7 linked regions of the Oryctolagus cuniculus genome follow. The protein of the gene in region 7 interacts with the protein of the main gene of each other region in a pairwise test. Links are inferred from orthologs where the notes say so. Each region holds a gene or a part of one and is shown on either strand. Other genes may lie near its edges. The genes, in order: ENKD1, CCDC33, NIF3L1, FAM161A, PPP1R18, LNX1 and CCDC102B.

Region 1 (4,273 bases), on a different chromosome or scaffold from region 7:
ATCCTACCATGATACCCCTGCCCTACCCTTCCACTGTCCTCAAAGTAAGCGTTTGAAAAGTGTCTTCGGGGTGGGCATTTGGCACAGCAGTGAAGACCCTGCCTGTGGGGTGGCCATGGTGGTGTAGTGGGTTAAGCTGCCGCTTGAGATGTCGGCATCCCATATCAGACTGCCAGCTGAAGTCCTGGTTGCTCACTTCCAGTCCAGCTCCCTGCTGTTGCACCCTGAGAGCCAGCAGATGATGGCTCAAGGGCTTGGGACCCTGCCTTCTACTAGGGAAACCCAGATGGAGTTCCAGGTTCCTGGCTTCTGCCTGGCCCAGTCCCAGCCACAGGATGGAAGCTCCCTTTGTTTCTGTCTCTATATCTCAATCTGCCTTTCAAGTAAATGAAAATAAGCAGTCATTTTTGAAAATACCATAATCATTAAAAAAGGGCATTGCTTAGGATGCCTGCATCCCCTATCAGAGTGCCTGGGTTCCAGTCTGGGCTCCACTTTTCATTCCAGGTTCCTGCTAATATACATCCTGGGGTGTGTGTGGGGTTGTGTGTGTGTATGTTTGTGTATGTGTGTGTGTGTAGCAGGTGATGGTCAAGTACTTGAGTCCCTGCCACCCATATGGGATTCAGTTCTGGTTTCCTGGCTTCAGCCTGGCCCAGCCTCAGCTGTTGCAGGCATTTGTGGAGTGAACCAATGGATGGAGGATCTAGCATTCTCTGTCAAATAAATCCAATTTTTCCAGAAAGTGGCTTAGACAGTTAAGACCCCATGTTCCACATCAGAGTGCCTAGGTTCCATCCCCAGCTCTGGCTGCTGACCCCAGCTTCCTGCTAATGCAGACACTGGGAGGCAGTGGTGATGGCTCCTGGCCTGGCCACTGTGGGCATTCGGAGAGTGACCCAGCACATGGGAGCGCTCTGGTTCTCGGAAAGGAGGAGGAAGGAAGAAGTGGAGAAAGAGAGCAAGGGAGGGGAGGAGGGAGAAAAAAAGGGAAGCGGCTTGGGGGTCCTTTATGACGTAGCTCCGGCTGACTTCCTGGCCTAACCTCATGCTTTTCCCCTCTCCCAGTGGGAGCCACACTGCTAGCAGAGAACCTGGCACCTTCACTGCCTGCTCCCGCTGGTCTCCGGACTCCCGCCTGTGAGGTTCCATCTCTGTGGCATGTTCTTTATTTTTTTTTCTTTTAATTACACTTTGCTTTTTTTTTCTTTTCCTTTCCTGAGGCAGAGAGACGGAGCTCCCATTGCCTGGTTCACTCCCCAGGTGCCTGTAATGACTGAGGCTGGGCACCAGGAGTGCGACCCACGTCCCTCAGGTGGAGCAGCCTTCACCACTGCCTCCCTGGGGTCAAAGAGCCGCAGCTGGGGACGGAACCCAGCACCCACCCTGATGTGGAATACAGGCTTCCGAACCAGCGTTTGCACCACTAGGCCACACGCCCGCCCTCTTTCTGGAATATTCTATACTACTCTCCCCTTGCCCAATCCCTACTTGCCATTCATGACCAGCATAGCCATGACCACTTCTGAGAAGTGACCCCAGCCCCACGCCATGACAGCATCAGGTGCCTCCCTCCCCACAGTGCAGGCCAGGGTTCGGCTCCTTGGGGCGGGTACCTGCAGCTGGGCCTTGACTCGAGACTCCACCTTGTCATACTTGGGTGAGCGCCACAGAGCCTTCAGCGGCTGGGGCTGGCCCTGCTCCCGGCCGTGGCCCTGCTCCCGGAAGCGTCTCTGGATCTCCTTGATCCGCCTCAGGTTCTCCTTCTCATGGTCTTTAGGGTCCTTCCCTGGGGGAAAGGTGCTCCCAGGCTCTGCCCTGACCAGCTCCCTGCCCGCCCTCTCCAGAAAGATCTCCCGGTTTCTGTGTCTGCCAGACGCTGTCTACACACCAGACCTCCCCTCGCTCCCCTGCCTGCATGTAAATCTCCCCTCGTTATTTTCTGTATTTTTTCAGTAAATACCCTGGATCGCCTCATGTCTTCACTTACTGCCTCCCACCTTGCCTACGACCCTGCTTTCCTGGCACCCACAAGGCCTGCCACACAGGAAACACGTTTTGATGCATGAATTAATGAGGTTCCCTCCCGCGGGAAACTGACGCTCAAGAGAGGCAAAGCCTGGGCCCAGGTCAGGGAAGGGACAGCCGCTTTTGATTTCCAACTGCCTCACTGCCCCTTCTGCCGGACTTACTCTTGGGCGAGACCCGCGGACTGAGGGAGATGCCCTCGAGCTGCAGCAGCACGCCCCCTACGCCTCGCCAGCCACGCTCCAAGATCTCTCGGCCTCCGGGCCTGATGCGGGGCCCGCGGGGTGGGGTGGCGTCCGGCTTCAGCGCGTTTCCTTCGAGGCGGCCCTGGGCTGAGGGGCGGGACAGGGCCGAGTGCGGAGCTCAGCGGTGGAGCGGCAGGCGATCCCGGGCCTTGCCCCCTCCGCAGCACCCCCGACTCACCTGAGGCCGGCCGCCGGTAGTAGTCTGGGCAGAGCGTGGGGTCTGGGGGGATGGGCCCCGAGATGCGGGACGGGCCCTCGCACATGCTGTCCTCGACGCCCTGCAACGGTGCACCGAGGCCTGCCAGGCTGTGCACCTCCCGCCCGGGACTCCCTTCCCCAGCCCTGCGCCTCCTCCCTCCACCTAGACCCAGACCATGGCAGTGCCCCCCATTCCCGGCCCCCTTCGTCTCCCGCCCCGCCGCTAACCCACGTCCCTTCGGGGTTCGCGGCCTCTTCCCGGTAACCCCCGAGCCCGGCTCACTCTAGCAGTTTTGCCGCCAGCTGCAGCACCGCGAAGGGAGTTGCTGTTGCCAGGCAACGAATGGCTTCCGTCCCTGAGGTCAGGGGCAGTGACCCTGGCGCAAGGCCTTCTGGGGCTTGTAGTTCCAGCCGAGGGCAGGTGGGGCGACCACCAATTTCCCTTCGCAGCTCGCTTCCCAGCCAGTCTCTGTGGTCAGCTCAGGGCCCACCAGTGCAGCCCCTCATGGCTCGTCTCCCTTCTCTCCGTAGGTAACCGGCGAGGACGCGTTGACCCCGCGCAGCCATGGCCTCGGCAGGGGCGGAGAGGCCGCCAGGAGCCCAGGAAGGGGTGGCCGTGGGGCCGGCACAGCTCGTGAAGGCACCCAGTGGCCGCTCTGAGGTGATGGCCAAGGCTGTGAAGCCTTCACACCCTGGCCGTGCCACACTGGGGGACCGGACTCCGGATGACCAAGCTGGGGCTGGGCATGGGCTGGTGCCCTCCACCCCGTGTTTGGTGGCTAATGCTGGGCACCAGCTGACTTATGGCTATAGACTCTACCTAACCATGGTGACCAGTTGCCTATGTGTCACTTCTAGTGCCCAGTGATGGAAGCTCAGTGCCTGGAGCCAGCCTACGAGGCCTGCAGGACCCCAGGTGCAGACAGGTGTCCAAGAGGACATGCCTCAGAGCCAGAGCTCCAGGAACGAGCGCTCAAGCCGCAGGTGGAAGCACCAGAGGAGAAAGGCCCCAGGCCTATGGCCTCCCCCATGAGGCCTGGTCATGGGCCCAAGAGGAAGCCAGTCAAGTGAGGAGGCTTCCAGGGAGAGAGCCGCAGGGCTGAGGCGTGGGGCTCACACCCTAGTGGGGTTCTAGGTCCTGCTCTCCTGTAGAGCAGATTCTTGTCTCCTCCCACTACCAGTGCCCTCAACCCTTTCTGCTTCCTGCTGTGGGGAGCACCACGGGAGATGAGGACTTGGCTCACATGAGCTCTGGGCCCCGGTTGGGCCTGGGGCCTCACTGACCAGGAAAGGGACAGGTAACCAGCCCTGGGGTGGTGGGTAGGCAGGGCTCTTCCCTAGGCCTAGGGCCTGGGGGCTGGCTTGGCAGGCCCCTTGTCCCTGGCTGCAGTCCCCCAGCCTCCCCAGCTCTAGTCTCCATGCCCATCCTAGGGTTGAAGCTGAGCTGTCACCAGGGCTACTGCTGCAGAGGGAGGAGTCGGAGGGAAGCCAGAGTGAGCCCTCACCATCCCCGAAACAGCACAAGAAAGCAAAGAAACGCAAGAGTCTTGGGGCTCCTGTGCTGGCCGCCATGGCCAGCACAGTGCCTGCCCCCTCAGAGGCCTTGGGACCAGAGCGTGAGTGGCAGCCCCTGGGCCTCCTCTTCCCTCCCTGCCTGCTGGCCCAACATGGCACAGAGCCTGGCACTCTAGCCCTTGCCCCGCCCTGGGTCCTTGCAGGAAAGGCCCAGCGCCTGAGGCCACTGTACCAGTACATCAACTACTGCAACCCGGAGCTGAACCAGGCAGGGGAGGGGGACGAGG
Region 2 (2,793 bases), on a different chromosome or scaffold from region 7:
GGAAGGCCCCGCCCCACCAGTGAGGGGAGTCACGGCTGTCGGTTCATCTCTGGCCCCACCCCGCTCCTCTTCCCCACTCTGCCCCTTCCTCGCCCTCATCAGGACAATAAACGGCCGAACCGCACGGAGGGTCTTCCTTCCCCTGGAGCCCCTGGGGTGTTTGTCACCCAGTACAGAAGCCTCAGGGGCTCAGGCACCCACTTAGAGGCCCTCTCCGTGGAGACCTGCCTGCTGCTGGCAGCTCAGGAGCCAGCAGGGGGCTGGGGGCCAGGCAGAGCGTGTGTGTGGGGGTGCAGCTTCCCTGTGCCCGGGCAGCCAACAGAGGTGCAGGTGGAGCCCGGCTGTGGGAGCAGGGAGCCCGGCGCTGTGGGCTAGTCCTGCCCGCCTGGTGCGCCCACCTGGCTAGATGGAGACATAGCTCCTTGGCCGGCCCTGCTGCTAGCCCCGGGAGGCGGAGGCTGGCCCAAGGCCACGCCGCTCTAGGAAACGGGCCGACGCTCTTGGTGCTCCAATGTTTAATGAAGTCACAGGGTGGGCTGGGGCCGCGGGGAGACCCCCAGGACAGCGGGGGAGGCCTGCTCTGGAGCTCAGGTCTGCTGGGGGTCCGCGGGCTTGCCGAGCTTCGTGTCCGAGCCTGGCGGCAGGGGCTCCAGATCCGAGGGACGCTCGAGGTCCTTGGCGGGGGTCGAGGCTTTCCATGGCTGCAAGGCGAGGGGGGTGAGCGCCCCGTGTCCCGGGTGGGCCGGCCACAGCAGGCCTCCCAGGATCCAAAACCCAGGGGGCCAGCAGGTGCCCCCCACGGTGCCCAGGGGCGTCCCCTGTCGGTCCCCTAGTCCTTTGTGAGCCTCCCTCCCAACCCAGCCACCACGCCTCCGTACGTGAGCAGAGAGTGGACAGGCCGAGCGTGGGGGTTCTTGGGGAGACAGTGGCTGTGCCGTCTCCTGAGAAGGAGCCTGTGCCATCCCAGGCTGGGGGCCACAAGCTACCCATGGGGTGCAGGAAGCACCCGGCGTCTCCTGGTCACCTCCTCCAGGTGTCTCCTGGCCACCGCAAGGCCAGGGCGGCCTCGAAGGGTCTTCTCCGCTCAGCAGGGGCAGGAATGGGGCCAGAGCAAGGGTGGTGGGGACACAGCAGGACCCAGAGCCCAGGAGCGGCTCCGCCCAGTCTGTCTCAGTGACTTAAGGGGTGGGGTGGCTCCCAGCCCCAGCAGCTGCTCCCACGGAGGGGCCACTCACGGGGGCGTCTATGATGATGGAGTTTGAGGGGCGCCCAAAGCCGTGTTCCTGCTCCTGCAGGCGCATGGCCAAGTCCTGCTTCTCCCGCCCCCAGCGCCGAGCCGAGTCCTCCAACTGCGGGCACAGAGGGGGACAACTGGTGGGCAGTGGGCAGCAGGGCCTGTCCCTGAAAGCCAGGACAAGCAGGCCCGGGGGAAAGCAAAGCTCTGGGGAGTATGGCCTTGATCTTCCCATGACCCCAGGAGCAGCAGGGGAGGGGAGGGGGCCACCCAGTGAGACAATGCAGAGGGACCTCCCTGCATTCCTGCAGCGTGCTGAGCCCTGATCCTGGTCCCACACTGAGCCCCGACCCTGGTCACACCATGATTCTAGATCCTGGTCTCACACTGAGCCCTGATCCTGGACACCCCCTGAGCCCTGATCCTGGTCCCACACTGAGCCCCGACCCTGGTCAGACCGTGATCCTAGATCCTGGTCCCACACTGAGCCCTGATCCTGGTCCCACACTGAGCCCTGATCCTGGCCCCACACTGAGCCCTGACCCTGGACACCCCCTGAGCCCTGATCCTGGTCCCACACTGAGCCCTGACCCTGGCCCCACACTCAGCCCTGACCCTGGTCCCACACTGAGCCCTGACCTTGGTCCCACACTTGGTCCTGACCCTGGTCACCCCTTGAGTCCTGATCCTGGCCCCACACTGAGCCCTGATCCTGGACACACACTGAGCCCTGACCCTGGCCCCACACTGAGCCCTGATCCTGGCCCCACACTCAGCCCTGACCCTGGTCCCACACTGAGCCCTGACCTTGGTCCCACACTTGGTCCTGACCCTGGTCACCCCTTGAGTCCTGACCCTGGCCCCACACTGAGCCCTGATCCTGGCCCCACACTGAGCCCTGACCTTGGCCCCACACTGAGCCCTGATCCTGGACACCCCCTGAGCCCTGATCCTGGTCCCACACTGAGCCCTGACCCTGGTGCACACTGAGCCCTGACCCTGGACACACACTGAGCCCTGACCCTGGCCCCACACTGAGCCCTGATCCTGGACACACTGAGCCCTGATCCTGGTCCCACATTGAGCCCTGACCCTGGCCCCACACTGAGCCTGTCCCTTGACACACACTGAGCCCTGACCCTGGCCCCACACTGAGCCCTGACCTTGGTCCCACACTGAGCCCTGACCCTGGCCCCACACTGAGCCCTGACCTTGGTCCCACACTGAGCCCTGACCCTGGTCCCACACTGAGCCCTGACCCTGGCCCCACACTGAGCCCTGATCCTGGACACCCCTTGAGCCCTGATTCTGGACCCACACTGAGCCCTGATCCTGGTCCCACCACTGAGCCCTGATCCTGGTCCCACACTGAGCCCTGACCCTGGTCCCACACTGAGCCCTGATCCTGGTCCCACCACTGAGCCCTGACCCTGACCCCACACTGAGCCCTGACCCTGGCCCCACACTGAGCCCTGATCCTGGACACACCCTGAGCCCTGATCCTGGTCCCACACTGAGCCCTGACCCTGGACACCCCCTGAGCCCTGATCCCGGTCCCA
Region 3 (4,067 bases), on a different chromosome or scaffold from region 7:
TGCTCTCTCCTCACTCATTAAGGGTAAAAGATGTTTCATTTCTCAAAGGCAATTTAATTGCCATATTTCAGCAACATTATTTCAAAGTATATAAAAATAGAATACCCTGCTTACCCCTAAAACATTAAAACTCTACTGGAAAGACATTCTAAAATTTCAAAGTATTTGTAGAGAAAGTATCAAATATGAAAGAACAAGAGGCTTCTCACCGAGCCCTTTGGACAGCCAGTTGTTCACTCCCTGGGGTGCAGCGTCATAGGCTGTGTGAGGAGAGTAGATGGCAACTCTGTTCTCCAAAGCCCGGATCACCAGGCGCTCCTTCCAGGACTTCCAGGTTATGCGCTTCATGGGTAGGAAGATGGGTGGATGGTAGGAAAGGATGAGATCCGCCTTCTTTTGCAGAGCCTCCTCCATCACTGGCTCAGTCAAGTCATTGGTCAGGAAGAGTGTATTCACAGTATGTGGTGGGCTTGGTTCCACCAGCAACCCAACATTGTCCCAACTTTCAGCAAAAGACAGGGATGCAAAGTCATTCAAGGAGGAGATGAGCGCCTTCAGATCCATGAAGGAACGGGAAGAACTGCAGTTCAGAGAATGGACAAGCCGGACTGTCGAGGGGGCCAGGCGTGCACAAGATGACAACATACAGCAAGCAGGCAACGCTCAGTTTCTGAAGTCAAACACAGAGAAGAGTACACATGTACAGTTCAGGCCTGCACCTCCGAGGCTTCAAAGCATCTGAGTCAAAGAGCTGCTGTCATACTAACCTGGGTTCAAATACTGCCTCTGCCACTTAGCTCAGTCATTTAACCTCTTGTAGCTTTTTTGTTTGCTCATCTGAAAAACAGAGACTGGGGCCAGCGTTGCAGCACAGTGGGTTAAGCTGCCTCTTCCAAGGCCGCCATCCTCAATTCTAGTTGCTCCACTTCTGATCCAGCTGCCTGCTAATGCGCCCGGAGAAAGCAGTGAAAAATGGACCAAGTGCTTGGACCTTTGCCACCCACATGGGAGATCCAGATGGAATTCCTAACTCCTGGCTTCAGACTGGCCCAGCCAAGGCCATTGTGGCCATCTGGGGAATGAACCAGCAGATGGAAGATCTCTCTCTCTAACTCTGGGTTTCAAATAAATGTTGTAAAAAGTAAAATAAAAAATGGAGACTATAACCTACTTCACAGGTCCTCCAGAGTGTACATTAGCTTTTTGTTACTACAGTGAAATACAAGAAATATAGCCAACTATAAATTTAATGAATAAGCATAACACAGTGATAGCAAAAATAAATTTTTTCACAATGTCTATTGCAAAAATATTTTAATAGGATGTGGATACTCAATATATTACTTTTTACACTGTTATTTACTTTCATATTTTATTCAAATGACCACAAGATGGAAGCCAGAAGCCTAGAACTCAATCTAGGTCTCCCCCATGGGTGGCAGGGACCCAAGGACTTGACCCACCACTGCTGCCTCCCAGGGGTACATTGGCAGGGAACCGGAATCAGAAGCTGGGGCTTGAATCCAGGCATTTCAGAATAGAATGCCAGAGTCCTAAGCAGCATCCTAACCACTATGCCAAAATGCTCACCCCTGGTTAATTCTTTCTTTCTCTCTTTCTCTCTTTCCCTCTTTCTCTCTTTCTCTCTCTCTCTCTCTTTCTCTCTTTCTCTCTTTCTTTCTCTCTTTCTTTCTCTCTTTCTCTCTCTCTCTCTTTCTCTCTTTCTCTCTTTGACAGGCAGAATGGACAATGAGAGAGAGAGAGACAGAGAGAAAGGTCTTCCTTTGCCGTTGGTTCACCCTCCAATGGCCGCCGCGGCCAGCGCGCTGCGGCCGGCGCACCACGCTGATCCGATGGCAGAAGCCAGGTGCTCTCCTGGTCTCCCATGGGGTGCAGGGCCCAAGCACTTGGGCCATCCTCCACTGCACTCCCTGGCCACGGCAGAGAGCTGGCCTGGAAGAGGGGCAACTTTGAAACCAAAACCACTTTCCAAAACCACGCAAGGTCTTGGAAGATCTAATGGTTCTGACACCACTTCCACCCTCCAATTACATATCCTGATACTAATCCACTCTCCCAACTCTTGTAAATCTGGCCAGCTCCAAAGCCGGCGTGCCACCGCGAAGGGTTTCCGTCGTTTACACGTGAAAGAGCGCTTGGAAAGAAGGCGGTGAAACACCGCCACGAGAGAACGGGCGGCTCCAAGCCCGGAGCCACAGGCAGCGAGAACAGTGGGTGGCAGCCCAGGACGCTGGTGAACTGCACTGACGGAGGCCAGACCGCAGTCCTCGGCCACACCTGTGCCACCACGGGCAAAGTACCTGACTTCTGAGGTTCTGCCCTGTAAAAAGACGAATATAAAAACGCCCAGCTCGTAGTACGCAGGCGAGATTTAAACACAAGGCAGGAACAATGCCTGTCCTAGAGCCCCTGTGTTATCGCTAGCCAATACGACCTGCAAACGACTCTGCCTTGCTTCGTCTCCAGCTCACTCCAGTGCTACTTCAAGCCTTTCCCAGGCAGTGAAGGGTCAGAAGGCACAGTGTGTAGGTCCTCGGGAACCCCGCCCCACCACTGCCCTCTGCGCTCGTTCAGCAGGGCAGTTTTGTGCCCTCTTTTTCTGCAGCACCCACGTCTAACAGTCATCTCCTACCCTGCCACAACTCCTCTCTTCGGGTTTAAATTGCCCACTACTCACGAGTCCGGGCACACCTCCGTAGCCACCACTTCCCGTCCCGAGCCGGCTCTCCTGGCCTTCGGCTATAGGCAGCGAGGAACAGGGCGGAAGTTGGTCCCTCCTGTTTTACAGTCGTACCCAAAACACTGCCTGAGTTTGGCGGGTAGTTCCGGGTTATGCTCCGGACTCCAGTGCAGTTAACAGAGCTGCACCTCGCCGTCAAATTTCAAATTAGCGGATAAATCACATTGTTTCCCTAGTGCTAGTCATTTTGGTTTGATATTAGAAGAAGGGAGGAAAGAGGAGGTAAGAAGGCTCTCTCTAATGGGTCCCGCGCCCGACTTCCGGTGGCCCCCAAACTCGTAATTGAGAACCGAAAGACTTGTCCAGGCTTCTGCAATTGCATCTTCGCTGTTTAACAACGGCTGTGCTGACCGAAGTGGGTAAGTGTGGGGCAACTTCATTCATTCTTTCATTTACTTTTTCAAGGGCTTGCTGAGCCCTGTATTGCACTGTTAGTTCTTGGGACACTTGGAGTGAACGTGCTGTGTGGCAAATGTGTTGCTGGAACGGCAGAATAAGTAAGGAAAGGATTTAGTATGTTTAGTATGTTAGTGATAAGTAATTTGGGAAGAGAAAACAGTACAGGTCCTGGGTTTCGAGCACTGTATTTTTAAACATTTGTTTATTTTTATTTATTTGAAAGACAGTTGCAGAGAGAGAGAGAGAATCTTCCATTCGGTGGTTCGCTCCCCCAAATGGCCGCAATGGCCGGAGCTGAGCTGATCCGAAGCCGGGAGCCAGGAGCCTTCTCCCGATCTCCTACGTGGGTGCAGAGGCCCAAGCGCTTGGGCCATCCTCTGCTGCTTCCCCACACCACAAGCTGGGAGCTGGATTGCAAGTGGAGCAGCCGGGACTCGAACCCGCGCCCACATGGGATGGCAGGCAGCAGGCAGAGCCCTAACCTACTAGCCACAGTGCTGGCTCCTGCAGCTGTTTAAATAGGGCTGTGAGGTAAGTAAGACTTGACATTTGAGGAGAGACCTAGAGGTAAGGAAATTAGCTGTAAGAAAGTGTTAGTGTTAGTGTTGCCAGCCAGTGCCTGGATTCTAAGGTGGGAATGTACCTGGCTTATTGGACTTGCAAAGAGGCTCTTAGAGAAGAGTGAGTAGAAGTAGCAGATTGCTGGGCTTCATTCCATAGGGTCTCATCACTTCTGTAACTGGATTTTTGTTACATGGGATACCACCCCAGGCTTTTTCTTATTTACAATAAAGATGAGCCTCTGTGAATGAAGACAGCAGGAAAATGACCTTAATTCTTTCTTCTTTTTGGGAATAGACTTATTCTTGAGCTTCTCTTAAGACTCGGAGAAGTTAAAAAGAACTCC
Region 4 (4,131 bases), on a different chromosome or scaffold from region 7:
ACCCACATAGCAGGACCTATAAACTGATATCTCCAAACTAGATTCAAGCACCATACCTAAGTGCCCAAACAAGGTCAAAGAATCACGTAAGGGTATATGTATACAGGAGGGGGTTATGGTGCATGGAAGTGATGGGGTAGACTGGCTTTGGCAAAACAAAAGGACTAACAGAAGCTTATTGTGATAGTTCTGGTGGGTATGGTATCTGCATTTACATGTTATATTTGACAAAACTGAAACAAATTAACCCTGAAAATTTGAGATAGAGACTCTAACCAATCTGAAGGCAAATATCTGACTCCTACACTCTCTTCCCTGTCTTTTCAGCACTTTTTCCTCCAGCCCCAGAACTTTCTGCCCTGTGGGACTTTCTGTGGTAGCTTATCAAGGTTTACTTCTGGGATCTGTCAGGTACGATGGCCTCAGAACAGTGTCAAACTCATAAGACTTAGTTTTCTTTTTTGGGTAGGTCCCCATCCTTTTGAAACTAGCTCATTGTACAAACTAATCTCTCCTAAGGTAATATTAGTTTGTAGTATACATTTTAGCTTAACAGGCCCTCTGGAAGTGTAATTACCACTACAGATAAATGACTGACTCCCCTACCACAGCAGCCAAATCACACTGTCATCTTAGGGCAAGTTGTTCAAATGGCAGTCCCATGGGCAGTTGTTTTAATTTGGGGTGGGTGCTTGGCACAGTGGTTAAGATACTGCTTGCATCCTGTATCAGAGTGCCTAGGTTCAAGTCCTGACTCCGCTTCCAATTCTAGCTCCCTGCTAATACATGACCTGAGAGGCAGCAGGTGATGGTTCTGATAGTACTTATGTACCTGCTATCCACGTGAGAGATCCAAATGGAGTTCCCAATTACCAGTATCAACCTGGCCCAGCCATATCTACTGCAGGCTTTTGGGGGACCAACATACGAAGGATCCCTCTTTGTCTCTGTCTCTAGCTCTCTGCCTTTTAAATAAATAAATTGAAAAAATTAAATAACTATTATTTATATAAATTGTGCTTTCAATAAAACATACATTATCTTATTTGGATCTTATATTAGCTAGGTCAGCTGGGAAAGAGAGACAATTATTCTTTTTGTTCAGAGAAAGAAACTGAGATTTTAAGGAAGTTATGTGCTAACATCACCCAGCACATGGCAGAGAATGGATTCGACTTCAGGATTCCAAATTCTTTTCCTCCATTCAAAGATTTTTTTCCTCCATCACTGTGCCTCCTTTGTTGCCCACTGAAAATTGTGTGAGGGGTGGGGGTGGGGGGAGCTTTATTACAGCAAAGCTGGTCCTCGGATGCTTCCCCTGGTTCATGTTCAGGGTCTCCAGCTGCCTTACTTAGGGATAACCATGAGTTGTTACCCTGTTGGAGAGATATTGGCCATACAAAATGCTGCTACAAAATTTTTCATTAATAGCTTTAGAGTACAGATAACAATTCCAAAACATGCAGTTATTTATTTCTACTAGACCCAGGCCATGACAGTTAGCTTATGAGACGCTTTGGACAAATTAAAGAACGCTGAACCTGGTGGACTTGCGAGCAGGACACATGTGGCTCTGAAAACTGATCAACGAATAGGCTGTTTCCTCCCACCCTGAGGAGTCATTTGGGAAGCACTGGAATCTCAGTAATTTGCTTCTCTGGCTATTTATCTGTACGTGTGTCGATTTACCCACCATCTTGATGTTTTAAACACCCGTCAGGTAACACTAAAGTACAATTGATAGCACAGCTGATGCACCTGTTTCTTCAGGGATTATCCACCAAGGGATAGATTAATTTTCCTCGTTAAGTAAACAAAAAAACGCGAATACTGGCTGTTCATTCCCAACAGATACTTAAAGAGTAGGGAATAAAATTCTGTACTTTGAACTGTCTAGAAAATGGAGTGACATGAATGCCCTCCAAGAAATTTTTATAGTAATCTCTTCGGTGAAAATTAAAAGGCCTTCCCACGCCTCCGTGTCGAGTATTTTCTGTGGGGGCAGAGAAAGAGGTGGGCCGGGGACCGGGTCGGGAGGATCTGCACGCGGCACCGCGTCTCCCAGCCGGAAATCAGCCTGGCGGGGACCGGGACCAGCCCTTAGCCCGCGCCCAGTCCCATCCCCGGTCGTGCCCCCGCTGTACCGCCACTCGCTCAGGCCGCACAACTTTGTAGTCGTCTTCATCCTCCGAGGCCGCCGCCGCTGCCGTCAGGGAAGTGAAGGGGTCTTCGCGTTCGTACTGGGCGACCCGCGCTCCGGTGTTGGGATTTACCGGGAGTTGGAGACTGGCGGCCGCCAGCCTGGCCTCTCGGTGTGAGGCGGCCATCACCCGCCTCCGAGGCCGGAGCGCCAGCGCTGGCCCGGGGCGGGTAAGCTGGCGCGGCCCGGGAGACCCGGCGGCTCCTCGCTTACAGCCGGCGGTTACTAGGGGCGCGGTAACTAGGGACGCTACAGGGGCTGCGAGGGATCAAAAGACTAAAAAGCTTCTCGGGCTGCCTGGGACCCGAGTCCGTCACTCAACTGGAGAATGGGAGTCAGAACTAAATCTGTTTGCTGGATTAGAAGATTGCGGACGGAAAAGGGCACCTCTTCCCCTCCGGTCACCTAAACGCAGACTTCTGACACTATCATAACACACCCGTTTTGTGAAGACAAGAGCGCATTTTTATTAACTGGAATACCAGGTTGGGAGGGGATGATGGCGGAGGAGAGTAGCATCTTATTGTGAAGTGACCTCAGAAGAATGTCAAGATTTGTATCCCAATACCAAACATGGCTGCCTCAGAGCAAGAGAAGGGGAAGGATTGACCTGAGCAGGAATCAGCCAATCAGAAGGAGGCTGCTAGGTGACTCTCGCGCGATTTTTTTGACCTGACCAATAAAAAGCCCAGGGTAGGGTGGCGCCTGGCCCGCCCACCAATGACGATACCCGTACAGAACGCGATGCTCGCTTTGGAGTCGCAGGCCTATGAGTGGCGGGGACTGAGGGCGCCAGTGTCCGACGCGCCATAGACACACCTTCATTCCACCTCACCCCCGCCACCTTCCCACTGGGCACTGGGGCGCCTCCACTGGCTCCTTCCCTTCACCACGTGGCTGCAAGAGGCCAAGCCAGAGTGTCACATGCTGCCTCAGCCCCTCCTTGGTGAGACCAAGGCCGCCGCCCCTTTCCTCGCCCTATCATTTGGATTCCTTCGCCCCTGGCCAAGTCTGCACTATTTCCCGTTCTGTTAAGGGCCTTTGTCACTCCAAAGTGTGGTCCCGCTTTCTGGCGAGTTCTAAGAAACACCGGGAGGAGCTGTCACACAAAGCAACTTATCTGGGGGCCTTCTCCGAGGCTCAATATGTTAATCCTCCGCCTGCGGCCAGGGGCGCCGGTTCTAGTTCCAGCTGCTGCTCTTCCAGTCCAGCTCTCTGCTGTGGCCTGGGAAGGCAGTGGAGGATGGCCCAGGTGCGTGCGTCCCTGCAGCCGCAAGAGAGACCCGGAAGAGGCTCCTGGCTTCGGATGGGCGCGGCTCCGGCCACTGCGGCCATTTGGGGGGTGAACCAACAGATGGAAGACCTTTCTGTCTCTACTCTAACTCTACCTCTCAAATAAATGAATAAAATCTTAAACAAAACAAAGTAACTTACCTGCAGCAAATGAGGAAACCACGAAGAATCATTTCCAAAGTCTAACTCCACAAGCAGGTAACTTTTATTTAGGGGGAAATGATTATTTAAGAGGGGAAGTTTTTATTTACTTTTTAAAAGTTTTTTAAAAATTTATTTGAAAGCCAAAGTTAGAGAGAGGAAGACAAAGACAGATCTTCGTCCGCAGGTTCAATGGCCCAAATGGCCACATTGGCTAGGGCTGCACCACGCCTAAACCAGCAATCTGGAATGCCATCTCCGTCTCCCCTGTTGTTTTTTAGGATTCATGTATTTATTTGAAAGGCAGTTAGAGAAGGAGAGATTGATCTTCCATCTGCTAGTTTACACCCCAAATGGCCATAACCGCCAAGGTAAGACCAAAGCCAGGAGCCTCTTCTGGGTCTCCCACGTAGGCCAGCTGCTTTCCCAGGTGGAGTGGAAGTGGAGCAGCTGGGACACTAATCGGCACCCATATGGGGTGCTAGTGCCACAGGCAG
Region 5 (3,500 bases), on a different chromosome or scaffold from region 7:
GCCACTGCGGCCAGCACGCTGTGCCGATCCGAAGCCAGGTGCTTCTCCTGGTCTCCCACGCAGGCGCAGGGCCCAAGCACTTGGGTCATCCTCCACTGCACTCCCGGGCCATAGCAGAGAGCTGGCCTGGAAGAGGAGCAACAGGGACAGAATCCGGCGCCCCGACCGGGACTAGAACCCGGGGTGCTGGTGCCACAGGTGGAGGATTAGCCTAGTGAGCCACAGCACCTGCCTAAAATAAATCTTAAAAAAAAAAAAAAGAAAAGAAAATGGCACAGAGAACCGACACACATCCTTTCATGTACTTTAAATCACATCTAGGTGCCTTCCAACATTGAATACTGTGTAAATGCTATGACAGTGAATGTTCCAGTGTTGTTTAGGGGGTAACAACAAGATAAAGAGGATGCACGTGGTTAGCACACATGTGACTTTTTGTTTTTTCCAAATACTTCCTGTCCTCTGTGTGTGGACGCCATGCACAGCGAGGGCCAACTGCACTTACTATGTGGGTATCTGCTGTTGATGGAAGTCTCGGAATGCGGAGGTTCAGCTATCTCCGACCTCAGATGAGGTCCCAACACAGGACCGAGGCTGGGGGGCCAGGTAGGGGTATACAGGTGGCCCTGATGCCATGTAGAATCAAGTGACAGCAACTACATTGCTTACAAGCCAGTCTCTGGTCTGTGGCTCCTGGATTCTGTTGCTAGCGGGTTTACCCAAATTTCTAGGAATCCATTTGTTTCCTCTTCAGAGCCTCTTTTGGGAAGACCACCTCTGTAGTTTTATTCTGCATTCTATTTGCCCTGAGTCTCCCCCAACTCTGCCTCTCTCCACTACCCCCTCCACTTCTGACTGGGCGTCTCAGGAATGCAGAGTCTGCATGAGAGTGGGGGGGGAGTGGGGGGTGACTCACTGGCTTCTCTCTCATCTGCTATATAAGGTCACCCAGGGGGCCGGAGAAGGGCGGGGCCTCCGGGGAAGGCACCAGCCACAGCCCATATCCTGGGCTCCAGTGAGTGGCAGGGCTGGCATCTCCGCTGGTAGCAGGGATCAATTTGATGGAATTAGCCTGCAAACGGCAGTTATTCCAGGAAGGCAGGGTGGGGTAGGGTGGCAGGGTCGTCCTTTCGCTGAGCCAGGGTGGGTGGGGCTGAGCTGGGCCAGGACACACCCGCCCCTGCTGAGCAGGCGCTGAGGGAGAGGAGAAGGCCTGAGGCTGGGCAGAGGGTGAGCTGCCTCTTCCCCGCCCCCACTGCACCCCAGCGGGCTGCTTCCTTATTCTCTCACCACATCCTGAGCACAGTTCTGGCAGGCCCAGGGCCCACTCAGCCCCACCAGCTTTCCGGCCCCCACCCCAGGTTTCCTGTTTGGGCGATCTGCTTCCGGCTGCCCTACTCCCTGACCTGGGTATGGTCACCAGCACTGGCCCTGCCCAGTTGTTAGTTCCCGGCTCCCCTTGGATGCTCCCTGGGCTTTAAGCCCCAACGCTTCATGCCTCCCTCCGCTGGTTCCCCAAAGGACGAGCAAACCTCAGGGGGAAGTGAGTTTTCTGAACACCACACCCAGGCAGAATTTCCAGACCTCCCTCCTTTGCCTCTGCCCAGCTCCAAGGGAAAGGGGCTGGAAGCAGACAGAGGGTTCAAGGTAAACTCGCAGAGGCAGCTGAAGATGCAAAGTGACCAAATGACCTCCAAGCTTAAGCCAGGTCTTTGGTCCCTGCGGCTTCCCACCAACAATGGGGACCCAAGACAACACATCTGAGGCCATGACACGCCGAAGGAGCCGGGTACGGGGCTTCCCAGGCTGGGAGTGGAAAGACGTCTGCTTGCAAGGTCAAGTGTGGGACTGCTCCCTAGGGATTTTCAAACTGGAAACTGATGTGCCCAGGGCAGGCGTTGGGCCACGGCCAGGGGGAGAAGTCAGCCTGGCTGCTGCCACTTCCCCTGTGTGTCCCAGCCTCAGTCCAACCTCAGACCCGCTGCCAGTCTCAGCCCCCACCTGCTGCTGTACCCTGGGGCCCAGATGCACTTCTCTTTCTACCGCTGTTGGGGTGGCGGTGAGGGGGAGGCCAGGGTGGCAGGAAGAGAGGGGGGAAAAGCTACTGCTGAGCCAGTTCTGGAGAGGGAGGGGCAGCTCAGGGAGGAAGGACAGGGGGTGGGGGGGTGGGGGTATTTTGGAAGAGGAAAAGGCTGTTCTTGTCCCGAGAGAAGGGAGTACTGTCTGAGGCAGTGGCCCAGCTGGGGGGTATGCAACCCCGAGGTCACCCACTTCAAATGGCCTCTGTGTGCTTCTCTCCCACGGGGCACACTTGGGGTTCCAAAGCTTTCTTCTCTCTGCTCCGCAGCAGGCCCTGCCCCATCCCCTCGCCCGCCAGGCTCTGGCTCCCTGGCCCTCAAAGCCATAAGAGCTTCCTCTCCACTCCTCCCTGCCGCTTCTTCCAGAACCCAAACCGGACTCCCTGCCGATATTTGCTGCCCCCCTCTCTCTTTGAGAGCTCTAAGTGCTGTCAGCCCGATCACCTCGATCTTGCAAGCTCGGGCCCACATCTCTCCCACCAGATGGGCCGGGGTGGGTCCCAGCTCAGAGCAAAGGAAGGAAAGCAAAGGGGGGTGGGGTGGGAGTGAGACTCAGCCGGAGGCAAGGGAGAATGAGCAGGCTGGGCACACCCTGGGAGACACACCCAGAGACAGCAGCACTGCTGGGCTGGTCCCTGGGGCTCCGAAATGAATGGAAAAGCAGGGCTCCAGAACGAAGGGTGGTGGCAGGGACGACGGGAGAGGGAACAGAGCAACACGGCGGGTATAAAAAGCAAGCCCAGATTCCAGAAAACCCAGGGAACTGACAGGTGGGTGGCCCAGAAGTCTGGCCGGGCTGCTCCCCTACCTGTTTGTGTTGTCTTTCGGGGGACCCCTTGGCAAGGCAGCTGCGGCTGAGACGGAGGTAGCCCCCCAGAACCAAGATCTCCTCGGCTGTCGGGTACCGCTTCTTCCCAGCCCCAGGGACCGCAGCATCAGCCGGGGCTGGGGCAGCCGGAGCGGCGGGGGTGGCCGGGGGCAAAGACCGCCGGGGGTTGACGGTGAAGGTGTGTCCACTGCGGCGGGGGGCCCCCACCCCTGGCCCGGCCTTCACCCCATAGAACAGTCGGCTCATGAGGGGGTCCCCAGAGGGCTGGGGAGCAGCAGGGGCTGGGGGTGGGGGAGACAGAGGGGCTGCTGGTGGGGGCCGGAGTCCCACTGCTTCCTCTTCCTGCAGTCTCGGGCCGGCAGTCCCAGCGTCCTCTGGTGGGAGGGGGGAGGGTGCAGAGCGGAGGTTCTGCGGGGCTCTCAGAGGCCTGCCCTGAGCCCCCGCCTCCTCCTCTGCTGCCTCGGCTTCTCCAGCCCCTGTACTAGGAGGCCCCAGACGCCTCTCGACAGACTCTGGAGGTTCTGCTTTGTGAGGCTGAGTCTCTGCGTCCCTGGGTGTCCACTCTCGAGCCTTTCCGGAGTTCAGGGTCCATT
Region 6 (3,500 bases), on a different chromosome or scaffold from region 7:
AGAGCAGCGCCAAGGCAGCAGCTGGGGCCCGGGCACAGCCAGGTGGGGGGGTGGGGGAGGGAGGAGCTCAGGGCTGCCTGCTGGAGCCCTGGCAGCCCCTTTGCCTGCAGGCGCCAGTTGAAGACCACAAGAATTAAAAGGCGCTGCTCCGCAACCCTCCAGGCAGCCGGAGGTCCCGCCCCTGATGAGGAGCGGCCTGGCCGTGTGCTCTACCCCGGGCCTGGTGGGAAGGCGTTTCTCCTCTGTGTCAATCACTCTGCCCTAGCAGCGGCTCCCAGTGCGACAGACACTTGTCCTTCAGCAACCTGGAGGGGGAGGGGTGCACGTGACTGTGCATCACGCGGGACACCCACGGGCAGGGGGGAGTCTCTCGTCTGATAAACACTGTGGACCCTGTCTGATAAACACTCCCCTCCCTCTTTCTCTTTGGAAACCCCCCTTCACTGCTCTCCTGCTAGGAAGCCCCCGGGGGACAGCACCTCGGGTATGAGGCTCCTGCCTGTCTCCCCTGAGGGTGTCTGCGTCGGGGGGAGCGACTTTTGTTCCCATGGCTCTCCACTGAACTACAGGACAGCAGGTGACATTAGAAAGTACACGATTTCCCACGACTCCGCTCTCCGGCCAATGCCAGGACACGGGAGCTCCAGTTGTATCTTACTAAGGCTGCCTGGGAAGGGGAGGTGGGAGGAGAGAGGGCAGAAGAAAGAGGAGACGGGGAAAGGGCCAGGAAGATGAAGAAGGCTGAGAAGGGGGAGGGGGGCGTGGGGAAAGGAGGGGCAGAGACGAAACCACACAGAGAGAAACCTCTGTGTAGGGGGAGGAAGGGGAGAGGCCGGCGGGGCGAGGGACCTGTCTCAGCTCAATCACAACTCGCGCCTGAGAAGTCCTGAGAACACACTAAGTATGCAGAGCGACGAGCCACACCTGCTACGCTCCCTCGTCGAGCCACCCATCCGTCTGTCTGTCCGTCCATTCTTCCTCCTTTCCACTCAGCTGTCCACTCATCCTCCCACCTCCCTCTCTCTCTCCCTCCATCCCTCCCCCATCCATCCGTCCATCCCTCCCTCCCTCCCATCTGTCCATCCATCCCTCCTTCCCTCCCATCTGTCCATCCATCCCTCCCTCCCTCCCATCTGTCCATCCATCCCTCCCTCCCTCCCTCCCTCCCTCCTATCTGTCCATCTATCCCTCCATCCGTCCATCCCTCCCTCCCTCCCATCTGTCCATCCATCCCTCCTTCCCTCCCATCTGTCCATCCATCCCTCCCTCCCTCCCATCTGTCCATCCATCCCTCCCTCCCTCCCTCCCTCCCTCCTATCTGTCCATCTATCCCTCCATCCGTCCATCCCTCCCTCCCTCCCATCTGTCCATCCATCCGCCCATCCATCCATTCCTCCCTCCCTCCCATCTGTCCATCCATTCGCCCATCCGTCCATTCCTCCCTCCCTCTCTCGCTCCCTCCCTCCCTCCCATCTGTCCATCCATCCCTCCATCCGTCCATCCCTCCCTCCCTCCCATCTGTCCATCTATCCCTCTCTCCCTCCCTCCCTCCCTCCCATCTGTCCATCCATCCCTCCATCCGTTCATTCCTCCCTCCTTCTCTCCCTCCCTCCATCCCTCCCTCCCATCTGTCCATCCATCCACCCATCCGTCCATCCCTCCCTCCCTCCCATCTGTCCATCCCTCCCTCCCTCCCATCTGTCCATCCATCCACCCATCCGTCCATTCCTCCCTCCCTCCCTCCCTCCCTCCCTCCCTTCCTCCCATCTGTCCGTCCATCTGCCCATCCATCCACCCCCCGCATCCGTCCATCGGCCCCTCCGTCCACATCCCGTTTCAGGCTGGGACAGGTTCCCCCACCTTCAGCACGATGTCCCCCGGCAGGAGCCGGCCGTCCCTGGCGATGGCGCCGTCGCGGTAGATGTGCTGGATGACCATGTGGACCAGCGGCGTCTCGCTGCCCCCCACGAGCCTCATGGAGAGGCTTTCCCGGGGATGCGCGCGGGTGATCTTGACGCTGGTGACCTCCCCGTCCGGAATCAGGTGATACAGCCTCGGATAGGCTGAAAGGCACACAGGCGGCGTTTGTTAGACACCCACCCAGCGACATTTCCACCGCTCATCTCGCCAGAGCCCGGTTCAGCCAAACAGGACCATTCATCGCTCCCCGTGGCTGCGTTCCACTCACCGCCTCTGTGCCAGCCCAACTTCCTCTGCCTGGAATACTTTTCCAACCTGGGCCGAAACCCAATTTTCCCTTCAAGTCTGTTTGAACGATCCCTCTCCCTGGCTCTCCCTGGCCGCCCCGTTCCCCATAACCTTTCTATTATTTTTATTGCACTCCATTTCCAACGATCGCCATTCACGCCCATTTCTCAGGCGCCCCACGGACCCTGGAACCCTGAGGCGTAAAGTCTGGCTGATCCTGCACACAGGTCTGAGCGGACAGGAATGAATGACCTCGTGGGCTCTATGGAACAAGCTGCAGTTCACCCCTTGCTCGCCGAGAGACAAGGCCACAACAATCCTGCTCTCGGTCATCCCCGATCACCCTGAAGGGCCCACCTTTCAGACACGAGGAGTCATCCGTGCCCCCGGACCCTGCTGCCCAGGAATGCACATTAAGAGACCTGCGTCGGGACCCAGAGGTGGCCAATGGCTAGCTGCAGGCGGGGACTGCCAACATCACCGAATTCAGAGCTGCAAGGAGACCCACAGATCACCTGACTTGTGTCTCCAGACTCTGTTTTTAAAAATGTATTTTATTTGAAGGAGGGAGAAGGCGAGATCTCCCATTCTGGCAGTTCACTCCCCAGGTGCCTGCAACAGCTGGGGCTGGCAACTCCGTCCGCGTCTCTCACATGGGTGGCAGGGACCCAACCACTTGAGCCATCACCTGCTGCTTCCTGGGGTGTGCGCCGGCCGGCAGCTGGGATCGGGAGTGGAGCTGCCGCCCTGGCCCGGGGAACTGTGCCACGGGACGTGGGTGTTCCAGCCAGCATCCGGCCACTGCTCCAATGCCCTCCCCTGGGCTCTGCTTTCAGCTGAGGGACCTGCCTTCCCCAAGAAACCTCTCCCAGCCCTGTGGCTCCGCCCCACACCGTGGCCACCTGGCAGCCTGGCAGTGAAGCCTTTACTTCCCAAGTGCGGCTGTTTAAGTGCCGTGAGGGGAAGGCGGCACCGGCCTGGGCATGGCAGAGCCTGCTGGTCTGCAGCACCAGCCCAGAGCCCGGCTGTCTGGGCCTCCGTGGGATCCCCTGCAGCCCCGTGTGGCAGCCAGCAGCCTGGAACAGCACGGCTTCTGCACCCCAGCTGGAACAGAAGTGCGCAGAGGGGTGTTGGGGATGGCGGCTCGGGCTGGAACACGGAGGCCGGGAAGCCTCTGGGCCCTGCCTCTGCGTTTGCCATCTGGAAAGATCTGACACCGCAGGCCTGGCTCTGATAAATTCAGAGGTTCCTCCGCCCCGACCCCCACCCCCGAGAGCGGGCTGCGGCAGGTG
Region 7 (3,500 bases):
GTGCTGGCGCCGCAAGGTGGAGGATTAGCCTATTGAGCCACGGCGCCGGCATCATATACTGCTTTCCCACGCCATAGCAGAGAGCTGGATCGGAAGTGGAGCACCCAGGACTCAAACCTGTGCCCATATGGGATGCCAACGCTTCAGGCCAGGGCGTTAACCCGCTGCGTCACAGTGCCAGCCCCTGATTAGTTCTTAACAGTGGTGACACAGAGATACTGTAATGAAACCTCAAAATACTGTGAATGTCTCAACATAATACATTTGAAGAGAAACCTTCATTTTCAAATGCAAAGCCTGGTTCATTCATATAATTCATTGTAATAACCAAGAATTAGTTTATGGATTCAAGGAACATTGTACTAGCTATGTCTCTAATTCAAATACTCAGATATGCCATGACACAACTAAATTTTAAGAATACATACTGTCGGCTGGTGCTGCGGCTCAATAGGCTAATCCTCCGCCTGCGGCTCCGGCACTCCACATTCTAGTCCTGGTCGGGGCGCCAGATTCTGTCCCGGTTGCTCCTCTTCCAGGCCAGCTCTCTGCTGTGGCCCAGGAGTGCAGTGGAGGATGGCCCAGGTTCTTGGGCCCTGTACCTGCATGGGAGACCAGGAGAAGCACCTGGCTCCTGGCTTCAGATCAGCGCAGTGCGCCGGCCGGCCGCAGTGGCCATTTGGGGGGTGAACCAACGGCAAAAGGAAGACCTTTCTCTCTGTCTCTCTCTCTCTCACTGTCCACTCTGCCTGACAGGAAAAAAAAAAAAAATACATACTGTCTCTCCAGAGACATATTCAAAGGTACTAATGACTTAGATTGTCATACTAAAAAAAATCTATAGGAAAAAAATGTCAGTAGACTAAATACACAAAAGGAATTGCATTATTACAGCCTTTTAAAAATTTTCATTGATAATGGAATCTAGATTATACCTACCTGAAGTTCCACACTTCATGGAAAGGCTTAAGATTTTAGATAGAATTGTAGAGATGCCATCTAATACATAATATGTTTTTAGAGATGGAATTTAGTAGGAAGAAATAACAATGTAAAATGAGTTCCATAAGTTCTCCAAAGTTCCATGGGGTTCCTTACCAGGTTAAACATGAGGAGGGGAGATTCCTGGATAAAGAATGTATAAATGGCTAGATTAAATGAAACTTTCTAAGTTTATTTTGTGCAAAATTCTCAGAAAAGTCAAGCTCAAAGTATACTAAATAAGTCTAAGAGTGACTATGCAAAGCATTTCCTGGTTCCCATTTTACAAGGAGTTAATCGTGAGACCAGAGTTCCAAACCCTGGGAAATATTCAAACTATCCTATGAGTCATTTGTTACTATTGACATAAGTGGACAGAGACCTCTTCAAGTATTTCCTTTTCACATGACAATATGCTGGATTAAATTCTGTTAGAAGTATTAGTCAAGTCACGGATATGTGCTGAATTGTGTTCTCTCAAAATCCGTATATTGATATCCTAACCTTTATTATCTATGAATGTAACTATTTGAGAAAAGTCCTTTAAAGGGTTGATACAAAAGAGTCATTGGGTGGCCCTAATGATGGGATATGTACAGGCAAAGGAAATCTGTACACACAGACACAGGAAAGAGATGTGAGATCACAGGGATTAAATGACTATCAGCCAAGAAGAGACTCAGAAGAATCCAACCCTGACGCCTGGTGTTCAGATTTGATCCTCTAAAACTGTGAATACAGGGCATCACTGTGGCATAGCAGGTTAAGCTGCCACCTGCAACATCAGCATCCTACAGGGGTACTGATTCAAGTCCCAGCTGCTCCACTTCTGATACAGCTCCCTGCTAATGCACCTCGGAAAGCAGAAGAAGGCCCAAATCCTTGGGCCCCTGCACCCATGTGGGAGGCCCAGAAAAAAACTCTTGGCTCTGGAATGGCCCAGCTCTGGTCTTCTCTGGCCACTGGAGACTGAACCAGATAGAAGAATTTCTCTACCTCTGCCTCTTGGAAACTCTAACTTTCATGTAAATAAATCAATCTTTAAAAAAAAAAAAAAAAAAAAAAAAAAAAACCTGAATACCCACATTTCTGATGCTAAGACCACCCAGGAGCTGGTACTTTTTTTTTTTTTAACCTAGAAACCTTTTACTTAAAGTGTACAAACTTCACATATTTCACGTCTCAAATTTAGGAATTTAGGGATTATTCCACCCTACCCTTCCTTCCACCACTCTTCCTCTCTCCCACACTTCCACTTTTCTTCCTTCTCCCTCTTCTATTCTCACTCTTTTTACTAAGATCTATTTTCAGTTAACTTTATGCTCATAAGATTAACCCTACACTAAGAGGTCAACAAATAGTTACGAAGAAAAAAAAATCATTCCTCACAACTGCCCTAGCAAGCGAACACGGTAACCAATGCCTCGTCACCTCCCCTTTCTCATCACTATGGAAGGCCTTCAAAAATGCAGGTATCCCCTGGTTCCTCAGAGCAACTTTTTTTTTTAAAGATTGTATTTATTTGAGAGGCAGAGTTACAGGCAGTGAGAGGGAGAGAGAGGTCTTCTGTACGCTAGTTCACCCCCAAATGGCCGCAATGTTGGGACCTGTGCCGATGGGAAGCCAGGAGCCAGGTGCTTCTTCCGGGTCTCCCACGCGGGTGCAGGGGCCCAAGGACTTGGGCCATCATCTACTGCTATCCCAGGCCATTGCAGAGAGCTGGATCAAGGACTTGGACCATCCTCCACTGCTTTCCCAGGCCATTGCAGAGAGCTGGATCAAGGACTTGGGCCATCATCTACTGCTATCCCAGGCCACAGCAGAGAGCTGGATCAAGGACTTGGGGCATCATCTACTGCTATCCCAGGCCATTGCAGAGAGCTCGATCAAGGACTTGGGCCATCATCTACTGCTATCCCAGGTAACAGCAGAGAGCTGGATCAAGGACTTGGGCCATCATCTACTGCTATCCCAGGCCACAGCAGAGAGCTGGATCAAGGACTTGGGCCATCATCTACTGCTATCCCAGGCCATAGCAGAGAGCTCGATCAAGGACTTGGGCCATCATCTACTGCTATCCCAGGTAACAGCAGAGAGCTGGATCAAGGACTTGGGCCATCATCTACTGCTATCCCAGGCCATTGCAGAGAGCTGGATCAAGGACTTGGGCCATCATCTACTGCTATCCCAGGCCACAGCAGAGAGCTGGATGGGAAGAGGGGCCGCCGGGACTCGAACCGGCATTCACACGGGAATCCGGCGCTTCAGGGGAGGATTAACCCACCACGCCACCGGCGCCGGGCCCAGGAGGACCTTCTCACCCGACTGCCCACGGTCTCCCGGGTCCGGCGCTGTCCTCTCAGCAGGCGCTCCCCCACACGCTCACACGTTTGGGAAGCGACTTCAGGTTCATCTCCGTGTTCCCGGGACGCCAGAGGAGCGAGGGGAGCGGGGGCGGCCGGGGGCTGCTTCTGAGGGGCCGCGCCCTGTCTCTTCCGCAGCTCGCTCAGCTCCTTCAC

What was found.
Region 1: the proteins of CCDC102B (region 7) and ENKD1 interact in binary tests that used the Homo sapiens proteins (3 or more experiments, as listed by UniProt). The two-hybrid records come from large-scale screens. The link is inferred for Oryctolagus cuniculus from reciprocal best matches to the Homo sapiens genes CCDC102B and ENKD1.
Region 2: the proteins of CCDC102B (region 7) and CCDC33 interact in a two-hybrid assay, tested with the Homo sapiens proteins (2 studies listed by BioGRID). The two-hybrid records come from large-scale screens. The link is inferred for Oryctolagus cuniculus from reciprocal best matches to the Homo sapiens genes CCDC102B and CCDC33.
Region 3: the proteins of CCDC102B (region 7) and NIF3L1 interact in binary tests that used the Homo sapiens proteins (3 or more experiments, as listed by UniProt). The two-hybrid records come from large-scale screens. The link is inferred for Oryctolagus cuniculus from reciprocal best matches to the Homo sapiens genes CCDC102B and NIF3L1.
Region 4: the proteins of CCDC102B (region 7) and FAM161A interact in binary tests that used the Homo sapiens proteins (3 or more experiments, as listed by UniProt). The two-hybrid records come from large-scale screens. The link is inferred for Oryctolagus cuniculus from reciprocal best matches to the Homo sapiens genes CCDC102B and FAM161A.
Region 5: the proteins of CCDC102B (region 7) and PPP1R18 interact in binary tests that used the Homo sapiens proteins (3 or more experiments, as listed by UniProt). The two-hybrid records come from large-scale screens. The link is inferred for Oryctolagus cuniculus from reciprocal best matches to the Homo sapiens genes CCDC102B and PPP1R18.
Region 6: the proteins of CCDC102B (region 7) and LNX1 interact in binary tests that used the Homo sapiens proteins (3 or more experiments, as listed by UniProt). The link is inferred for Oryctolagus cuniculus from reciprocal best matches to the Homo sapiens genes CCDC102B and LNX1.

Annotation. Positions count from the first base shown.
Region 1 is NC_091449.1:50,907,477-50,911,749, forward strand, and holds the start of ENKD1 (enkurin domain-containing protein 1), read right to left. Parts: upstream 2,801-4,273; 5' UTR 2,700-2,800; intron 2,552-2,699; 5' UTR 2,537-2,551; coding exon 2,452-2,536; intron 2,361-2,451; coding exon 2,193-2,360; intron 1,790-2,192; coding exon 1,617-1,789; intron 1-1,616. Other genes in the region: C18H16orf86 (uncharacterized protein C16orf86 homolog), read left to right, coding at 3,037-3,132, 3,330-3,538, 3,903-4,273. UniProt on the Homo sapiens protein: Microtubule-binding protein which regulates microtubule organization and stability. Promotes the stability of astral microtubules and facilitates the proper orientation of the mitotic spindle.
Region 2 is NC_091443.1:109,313,392-109,316,184, forward strand, and holds the end of CCDC33 (coiled-coil domain-containing protein 33), read right to left. Parts: intron 1,350-2,793; coding exon 1,236-1,349; intron 702-1,235; coding exon 588-701; 3' UTR 501-587; downstream 1-500.
Region 3 is NC_091434.1:39,117,357-39,121,423, forward strand, and holds the start of NIF3L1 (NIF3-like protein 1), read right to left. Parts: upstream 2,801-4,067; 5' UTR 2,699-2,800; exon of another isoform or gene 2,654-2,698; intron 945-2,653; exon of another isoform or gene 852-944; 5' UTR 768-851; intron 671-767; 5' UTR 646-670; coding exon 210-645; intron 1-209. UniProt on the Homo sapiens protein: May function as a transcriptional corepressor through its interaction with COPS2, negatively regulating the expression of genes involved in neuronal differentiation.
Region 4 is NC_091433.1:140,941,812-140,945,942, reverse strand, and holds the start of FAM161A (protein FAM161A), read right to left. Parts: upstream 2,801-4,131; 5' UTR 2,328-2,800; coding exon 2,145-2,327; intron 1-2,144. UniProt on the Homo sapiens protein: Involved in ciliogenesis.
Region 5 is NC_091436.1:139,749,969-139,753,468, reverse strand, and holds part of PPP1R18 (phostensin), read right to left. Parts: coding exon 2,887-3,500; intron 1-2,886.
Region 6 is NC_091439.1:110,399,100-110,402,599, reverse strand, and holds part of LNX1 (E3 ubiquitin-protein ligase LNX), read right to left. Parts: intron 2,064-3,500; coding exon 1,861-2,063; intron 1-1,860.
Region 7 is NC_091441.1:9,984,277-9,987,776, forward strand, and holds part of CCDC102B (coiled-coil domain-containing protein 102B), read right to left. Parts: coding exon 3,303-3,500; intron 1-3,302. UniProt on the Homo sapiens protein: During interphase, forms fibers at the proximal ends of centrioles to maintain centrosome cohesion. During mitosis, dissociates from the centrosome following phosphorylation to allow centrosome separation. Contributes to CROCC/rootletin filament formation.